Bombyx mori: one gene and its partner. The main gene of each other region encodes a partner of the protein of the gene in region 2 in a complex. Links are inferred from orthologs where the notes say so. Each region holds a gene or a part of one and is shown on either strand. Other genes may lie near its edges.

Region 1 (3,940 bases), on a different chromosome or scaffold from region 2:
ATCTTAAGAACACGTCAGAACGTTGCTTTGAAAAAGCGGCGCGACACAATAGCCCTCATCGCGGTGGTTGCCAATTACATATCCACCCAGTCGATGGGGCAACGCCTCGTGAGCTCACCTACCAGTCTATGACCAACTAGTCCCTTAGGCAGCGAATAATTATGGGGAAAAAAATGTGGCCAACGAGTGATATTAGAGACCAATCCATATATATTCTGAAAATTTGGATTAATTTTACAATTTTTTTTAAATATAATGTTGTATCAAACTTTTTGCTAACATCATATTATAAGCTTACTAAATTAAATAACATGCATTCTGCAAATAAGTTGATAAATACAATTATTAATCTTCATATTTCTCAATCTTTTTAAATTTGTTGAAGAACCCAATACTTATATTATTCAACACGCTAGGCAGCATCTTGGCTTTGCCCCTGGCATTGCTGAAGTCCATGGGAGACGGTAACCACTCACCATCAGGTGGGCCGTATGCTGGTCTGTCTACAAGGGCAATTAAAAAATATACATCTAATGAATATTTTGAATTGTTTTTTGCAGTAAGATCACATCACTAATTGTTCTAAACAACAGAATAATACTGCTGTGTATAAAGTGACAAATGTTTTAATTGATTATGTATACATAATAATAAAACAATATTGGTTCTAAGTTTCTATACTTTTATGAAAGTTTAACTACTTAAATTAATATGTACAATGAATTAAACAGAAATTATTGTAACATTAATTTTTTTGTCCATATCTATGTATCAGAAAGTAAAATTTCCTTTTTTATTTAGTAGCTACTGAGTATCTTCTTAGGCAAAAAGCTGCAGATTATTATTAAATCATATGTTTCTTGTGATTACAAGGCCGTAGTATTAATTTGTGTTTAAAGTTGTATTCATGTTGTGCAAGTTGTGTATAAACCTCTTAATTGCATTCCACAAGTATTACTAGTTTTTGATGTGAAACAGAAACATTCACTTTAGTATGATTTTTTCTCAAAAAGACTGCAGACTGAAATACTGTGTATAACATTCTAAGCTTTTGAAAAATGAAGGCTTATACACACCATAAGGTAAAATGTAAACTTAAATTACAAAAACATTTATTATCTAATTAAATTTATTGTAATATTAGATTTTATGAAATCAATTAATTGCTAAGGCATCATTTTGTGCCTCTTGCGCTAACTGCACTTGAAGATTCAGTAATTTGTTTTTCAGTACAACTATTCCCATTAATACAATATTCTCTGGTTTAAGAGCTCCTGATGATTCTACATTATAAAAGAATTTGTTTGGTTTCGCTTCCCAGTTGAAGTCCGCCTCATACTGATCTTCATTAAGTTCAGTGTGCTCGCTTTTGGGCCATTCATCTGGTTTTGGATATAACGTATGTCTCATTATATTATCAGGGTCATATTCAAAGGACACACCAGCAGTTGGATTCCATTTTGCATGCTCTTTCCCAAAACCTTTTTTTGCATATGCCCGAAGCTTCAATTCCTGACCCTTGCGTAACTTAATGATCAATATTTCATCTGCTTCACCATAATCGGCCTGGTCTTCATCTCTATGTCGTGATGTAACAGGGACAACTCTAGGATCGCTCGATTTCAAATCAGCAGTTGTTACATGTCTTGTTTGTTCATCTGTGCATTTTACGTCTAATGTAAATTCGACACTGCATTCGGAACAAAAATCAACACACATGCAATCACGCGAGTACCTGATTTTGTCTACAACGTCGTCTGATATGAGCGGAATGAGACCGATGCGGTGTGCTAAGAATTCATCGCTCAAAACGGTGGAATTAGCTTCTAACTGTACCCAATCGATGGCCATTGTTGGTGTTTCAGCGATAAATACGCGTCTCATACTGTTTGCTACGCTTAATTCGGTATCTTCCACAACGAATTTTACATTTTCATCAGATAGTTCTGTTATGTGAACAGAGGGTTGATTTGCGTAAGGCATTTTCTGTTTCTTAAATCTAATTTAATGAATTAGGTTTCTTTTTAATGAAACTAACACCATCTAATATATAACAAAATAAATAACGAATAACACTTCCAAACAATCAACTTGTTAGCCAAATTCTAACCTCTGTGCTTGTCACATATTTTTTGTTTCATTTACTACACAGACAAAGGGAACGAAGCTCATACAACCAATTTTTTTGTAATAAAGATGTTTAACCTTGCTGGTGAATGAATGTAAAATGGAACTAAGCTAACCTTATGTATCATCATCATCAACTTATAGTAGTTCAACGCTGAAAATAGGCCTCTCCAATTGCCGAGCACGATCTTCAGCTTCTCTCACTCATTCTTGCCAGCCTTATGTATGTGTTGAATGAACTGAAATGATGTATATAACGTTTCGGTAAAATGCTGGAAATTAACTAAGAGCTCAATGGAGTTTTTGGAAGAAGCCAGTAGACCTGTAGTCGTCGTGGCCTAAAGGATAAACGTCCGGTACATTCGTATCTAGCGATGCAACGGTGTCCGAGTTCCGCAGGCGGGTACCAATTTTTCTAATGAAATACGTACTTGACATATTACATCGTGTAATAAAAGTCAAACCCGCAAAATTATAGTGTGAGTCCGGACGGGTAGGTACCACCACCCTGCCTATCTCTGCCGTGAAGCAGTAATGCGTTTCAGTTTGAAGGGTGGGGCAACCGTTGTAACTATACGGAGACCTTAGAACTTATATCTCAAGGTGGGTGGTGCATTTACGTTTTAGATGTCTATGGGCTTCAGTAACCACTTAACACCAGGTGGGCTGTGAGCTCGTCCACACATCTAGGCAACAAAAAAACCAAAGATGCCACATCCTGCGGTTAACTTTAATTTTCCCACTCTTTTCATCAATTAATTTCGGTAATTAAAATATGACTATAACGAGACTTCTTGTAGTTGTGGCTATGTAAATAAAGGACAACTAGGTTATCTTCGACATAAGCTATGTGCAGTGGCGTAACGATCTAAACTCGCGTGGAAACTCCCCTTTTTTCCTTTTTATTTACGAATTAACATTTATTATAGTACATTGGTACTAAATTAAAAATATATTTTTTAGAAATCAATTATAAAAAAAAAATCAGCAATTTTTTGTTTTGCGGACCATTTGGCGCCCCTTTGTGAATAGCGCCCGGGGCATGATCCCCCCTTGCCCCCCCTCGCTACGCCACTGGCTATCTCTATAAACCAAATCACTAAAATATATTCATATGTATTAATATTCACTAGAATATTATTAATTACGCAGTAAATAATGATTGTCGAGTTAACGTACTCCGTTGTTCCTTATCATTTCCAATTATAAACAACATTCAGTTAATAAATCTGTAGCTTGGCACTTGTGTTGCCAAATTAACTGTTACAAAATATATTTTAATTGGAACTATACTTGTACTGTAACTATACTTGAGGCCTTAGAACTTGTATCTCAAGGTGGGAGGCGCATTTACGTTGTGGATGTCTATGGGCTCCAGTAACCACTTAACACCAGGTGGGCTGTGAGCTCGTCCACCTATCTAAGCAATAAAAAAAAAAGTTTTTAAATGGAGCGTTACAAGTGTGAGCCCTCGGTGAGTAATATTATCTAATTATTTCCCAACGATACGTATTGAATGTTTCTATTGCAGTGCAGTATTTCACCTATTGACCTTTGACCCTATTTCTCATAAGTACCCGATGGACGATAAGGCGGTAAAACTCCTCATTCCTCGGTAAATGGCCGAGGGATCCACAGGTCAAAGACTGTGCTTTAAGAATTATGATTATAACATACAAACAATAAAGTGAACATGGTGTTCCAGACGATCGAGTTTGATCCTATGTGCGATAAGGAGAATCCTCAGAGAATATCCTTCGAAGATGTCTCTGCAGCAGCTTTCAGAATACAAAGTGAGATAATTAAAACGCCG
Region 2 (5,520 bases):
AACGAGCGTAATTTTGTGAGTTGTCAGTTGCGTAATGCGTGCGGACTCACAAAAGGTCCTACCACCAGTAAAAACCTTTTGACCTCACCCTTAATAGCGAAGCCCTTGCCCGCAGTGGCTTTAGTAATGTAATGCTATAAGCACAGCATACCAGTACGAAGTCCAGCTGACGATGTTAGAAACCAACTACGCTTTAAGTGCTTGCTTTATTTTACCATAAGACCTACCATCACCAGCTTCAGCTGACCCCACCTCTGGCTTTGAATACCGGAAACTGAGTACCTTTTTTAGCTTTCCCTTTAGCTTTCTTTTCGTCTGGGTCCTCTTCGTCTGCATCGTCGACTCCGCGGAGCCGTTTCCGTAACATCAACGAGAAGAAATTCATAACCTTGTTACGCCTAGTGCAGAAAAAAATCGATCATCGACTTCAATGAAACATATTTTGAAATGTCACTAGAAACAGCAATGGATTCGGTCCAACCATCTTTCTCATATACTATATACGGGGCGACGGAGACCAAAAAGCAATAAATTTTCAAATAATTCAAACAATAAAGTTATTGTAATCATTCTCGTATATCTTTAATGTACAAAAAATAAACTTTTTTTTTCAAATTATTAGTTTTATAACAATAGTCTGTTGCCCTGAAACAGAGATGTAATAAAGTGTTTTGTCTTTTTTCTATTTAGATAAAGCATAAGTACTCAATTCTTCAAATATGCAGACAACAATAAAAAAATATATTTTAATTTTAAGTTCAACTATCTATTATGATCTGGTTTTTTTTTTCCTATATTATATTTATCGTTACATGCAGTGCGAAAAACAATCATTTAAGCTCTAGATCATTATCGTCAAAGGATTTAGGATAATTACAAAGCACCTTCATTTTCGGGAATGACAGTCTGTATAAAATATGAGTAAATGATTTACAAGTAATTTTACTGGTGGTAGGACCTCTTGTGAGTCCGCGCGGGTGGGTACCACCACCCTGACTATTTCTGCCGTGAAGCAGTAATGCGTTTCGGTTTGAAGGGTGGGGCAGCCATTGTAACTATACTTGAGACCTTAGAACTTATATCTCAAGGTCGGTGGTTACGTTGTGGATGTCTATGGGCTCCAGTAACCAATTAACACCAGGTGGGCTGTGAGCTCGTCCACCCATCTAAGCAAATAAAAAAAAATAAAAAAAATGTCATGGACCATCTTACCTGCCAAATTCCTGTTCGGCTTCTTCAGCTGACAGCGCTTTGTATCTCTGAATCGGTTGGAAATTGTACCTGTTAGAATTCAGTTTTTAGTTTCTTAAGAATTAACTACCTTCATTTTTCTACTATATTTGAGCAATTAAAAAAGAACATTAATAACACAAAATAATAATAAAGGAACAGAGATTCACACACAGCATTCAGATTATTTTTAAATAAAATAGAAGCATTTCTTTCATGTTTTGTAAATATTGCATGAACATTCCGTACCATTCCTGGAGTGGATAGGCGTCTATTGCGCCATCCGCTGCGTGAGTGAACACATAATATGCAGCATTCTCTGATACTCCACCTTCACGAATACCTTTGAATCTAAAAATATGATAATACATGATATGAAAATTACCAGTTACATATTAATTAGTATTATATAGAGCAAGCAAATAGGCATAACCACACGTTAGTCTATAACACAAGACTTTTCATTTAATTATATGCAGTTTTTCATCCTGTTTTCAATCATTGACTTTTAATGAAAAAGGAAGAAGTTCTGATTTAATTTTATTTATTTTATTTTTATCTTCGAACTTTTTCTAGGTTAAACGATTCTGATAAATCTTTTGTTGTGTAAAAATTGTTCCAACTCATGTGAAATTAAATTATTTCTTGTGCATTTGTTGTAAAGGAACCACCAAACAATATCAGAAGAGGTTATTGTTATTTGTTAATTACTAACTTCTTGCCGGTCTTTCCACCGACTTTCAGGATCCACGGCTGGTCTTCCGGTTTGTACTTTCTTGATATTATACCGAATTTCTTGCGACGTGCTTCCTCACGCATGTCCCGTCCGTATTCCGAGCCTGCACCAAATCTGGATTTGTGTGACGAGTATTACCAAAAATATTACGTAATAGTAGTAGTATTTTAATTCCCAAGTATTCAATAATCTTGGAGCTGTTAAGATCACTTTTTATAAAGGGTGTTCATGGCAAATCTATTTTTTAAAGCATTGAGTAAATAACCTTAATTTAAGGTGTGTCAGTCTTTAGTGTCAACAATGTTAACCAACCGGTTTCCAGTTTTTGACTATTCTTTGTATTATTATCTGCTAGCATGCAAATTTTTTGAGTTACAGAATTAACTTAATATTAAATAATTATGCCATAAAATTATGACATACTTTTCACATTTATTTTTAATGATGTAGAAAATTAATTTATGATTATTAAGTCAATCTATTTGATATCACCATCAAAGAGTTGAATTTTCTTAATACTAACTTGGGCATTTCCTCTTCAGCTCCTTTGAATTCTTTGCTGTTGTTCTCTCGCTCCATCTTGACATGAGTCCATTTTGCAAAATCTACATTCAATGTGGCATTGAACCTCATAACATGATACTTCTTCTTTACATTCTTTGGCACTCTTATTTTATACTCCTGTACTGTGGCGGCCGGTGTCTGAGAAATTAATTTATTATATCTGTGAAATCGTAACTATTGTTTAAATGATTACGATACCATTCTATGTATGATTTGGTAAAATTTATCAAATTTGGTTATATTATCCTTTTATGTACCTACTTACTTCAGTAAGAACACATATTCTTGCATATTAATTTAATATTATTTTGAACCTCACAATTTGTTGATTGTTTTAAGTTCTTAAACGAAAAAGGTGAAATATCGTATCACGATATTTCACCTTTTTCGTTTAAGAACGAATAATATCTTACCGTACTACTTCCAGGTGTAGACATTTTTTACACTTATATCTATAATATCAAGATTAATGACGGTATATAAATTTATCAAATGACAATAGTCCTCGATATCATGATCTCACTAACGTACACGTTAAATTTCTTCAAATCAAATAATTTATTACGTTACAGTTTACTCTTTGATTAAAAATATTGTAATCAATTAAAACAATGCTAATCGCAAACTGTGCTGGCAAAATGAAAATTCTGTCAAATTAATGTCAAAAGTCAAAATTTCATCAAGCACAGAGCACATTTCAGTCTGTCAATGAATTTATGATCATAAGTATCAAGTCATATATGACTAAATAATATTATCATTTAACTATGCTCATGACTTCTATTATTTTAATAAACATGCAATAGTCATTAGGATTTAAAACATTTTTTTCATACGTGACGAAAAAGCAATCTTATCAAATGTTTACAGCAGCTTAGCATATTGTCGTCCAGCATTAGAAATTACCCACAAGGTTAGTCACCTCCTCTTTGCGTCGATAATCCACAACAATGAGGGTCATGGCGTCCCATAATAATTTCGCTTGGACTATCCTGCGCCAACATTGCCTATCCTTGACTTTCCGGAGGGCATCGTGGACTGAGGTGTTGAGAGTAGAGGCAGCTAGTGCAATCATAGCATTGGACTTCTGCTTCTGAACCTTCTTCCGCATACTTTGCCTGTTACCAGCAATTATTCTAAATTGTCATCTTCTTTCTGACAATGTGTCCAAAGAACTCAAAATTTGAACGGAATCTTGAACTCAGTAAGAATGTATTTGTAGGATCAAATGTTCTATCAAGCCCTTCCATCCTAAAAGTTATAATCATAAAACAGATATGGCTTTGATTATTTTGGCTGTATTCCCATTGCCAATGAAAAAAGAAAAAAAAAACTGTTTACAATAATAATCACAATACTTAAAAATCTGTTTCATAAAATATTTAGAAATTTAAGTTAATTTATTTTTCATTAAAATGGGTAAAAAGAAAAATAAGAATAAAGTTAGTGGCGCTGTTAAAACCGCAGCAAAAACTGAAAAAAAGCTAGCTAGCAAATTAAAAAAAGAACTCGCAAATCTTGGTGAGGTTAGACCATGCCTTTTCGCACTATTTATTAGAAACTCTCAAAAAGTTACCTGAAATTACGCCCTAATGGATCTAATATAGTAGTATAAACTTAAATGTTATTGAAACTAACTTACTAAAATTATTTAAATGGGTAAATTTTGTAAAAGTCATGAAAAACATAAAATTAAATAATTCGAAATAATTTATATTTTTATGATTTAATCTAGCTTTAATTATTTGGAGATAATATAATAACAAAAACTACTTCTATGATATGACGTAAATGATAATAAAAGTCATTTTGTCACTAAACTAAAGCTGAAGAAAGAGCAAGTAAAATTTTAATAGAAGTTTTGTATTATGTATATTTCAGGAAGATATAGCTAAAGTGATAGCTGAGATAGAACGGGAGGAAGCTAAACGATATGCTGCATCAGAGAAGGTCCTCGAAAAGCCACCATCCTCCAGAGCGTACGCAACGCTCACCCCACATCCAATCAATAATGAGCTTGTGCTGTTTGGTGGAGAATACCACAACGGACAAAAGGTATCAATTTCATTTTTAGAGATATTACAATATTAGGTAAAGTATCATGATGGATAAAGAAAATACATAAATTGGTGTATCTGTAATTTTATAGTCCATCCAGTGTTAAGTTATTACTGAATTTAGACATTACAACATGAATAGCATTACTAACTGAGACATCAAGTTGAATTACTTCTTTAACCCTTAAAACTGGAATGCATACTTTGTGGCAGAAATAGGTATAGAATGATGATGAGTGATTTTGATAGAAGAATATACATACATAAATGTGCCTAATTGCTATCACTTTTACAGAATACATTGTGTGCTTTCATGACTTGATACTAACATACAGTCTATCAAGAATAAATCTATACATCCACTTTGTAAGGAACTATCTCAATTCACAAGAAGTATTTAATAAATCACATAATTTTCGGTCAAGTAACAAAACCGTCAAAATTGACTAATTTGAATAGTAAATACTGTAGGAAAAGTTTTTAAAACAATTATTCTATTTTTGAACACCTGAAGAATTTGCAGGTACTTTCTCTTTTAAATGGTTCCATGGCCTACTGCAAACTTTTTCTATTCTATTGGGAATATGGTGAAAGTGTCATATATATTTTTTTTCCTACCTACGCTGATAGCCTTGAGAGGCTATATCAGCATCGCCTTAACTATTAGGTGAGCTCACGGGGCTCAAACCTGATGACGTTGCTAACACGAACCCTAGCAAGAGCCGTGCTTCGCAGAATCTACCACCGAATCGGAAACGCGACCCACTGAGAAGATCCAGCGAGAAACTCAGTGGGCTGTGTCTGAGAGTTAATTTACTCGTCGAGCCCTTCGTCGCAAGCGACGGGTTCGATGAGAACGATGACCGGAAAGTGTCATAATTGAGTCATGTCACTATACATAATATCTGTATTTGTACTGCTTGTTAAATAATT

The links. The genes of interacting proteins can lie anywhere in the genome.
Region 1: general transcription factor IIF subunit 1 (region 2) and DNA-directed RNA polymerase II polypeptide share a complex: the UniProt entries of both Homo sapiens proteins name them as parts of the TBP-based Pol II pre-initiation complex. The link is inferred for Bombyx mori from reciprocal best matches to the Homo sapiens genes GTF2F1 and POLR2C.

The regions. Positions count from the first base shown.
Region 1 is NC_085131.1:5,447,418-5,451,357, forward strand, and holds DNA-directed RNA polymerase II polypeptide, read right to left. Parts: upstream 2,095-3,940; 5' UTR 1,984-2,094; coding exon 1,156-1,983; 3' UTR 1,125-1,155; downstream 1-1,124. Other genes in the region: L-threonine ammonia-lyase, read left to right, coding at 3,575-3,601, 3,833-3,940. UniProt on the Homo sapiens protein: Core component of RNA polymerase II (Pol II), a DNA-dependent RNA polymerase which synthesizes mRNA precursors and many functional non-coding RNAs using the four ribonucleoside triphosphates as substrates.
Region 2 is NC_085121.1:15,714,673-15,720,192, forward strand, and holds the start of general transcription factor IIF subunit 1, read right to left. Parts: upstream 3,228-5,520; 5' UTR 2,968-3,227; coding exon 2,944-2,967; intron 2,669-2,943; coding exon 2,490-2,668; intron 2,081-2,489; coding exon 1,946-2,080; intron 1,582-1,945; coding exon 1,480-1,581; intron 1,282-1,479; coding exon 1,213-1,281; intron 399-1,212; coding exon 283-398; intron 1-282. Other genes in the region: kelch domain-containing protein 4, read left to right, coding at 3,946-4,056, 4,412-4,585. UniProt on the Homo sapiens protein: TFIIF is a general transcription initiation factor that binds to RNA polymerase II and helps to recruit it to the initiation complex in collaboration with TFIIB. It promotes transcription elongation.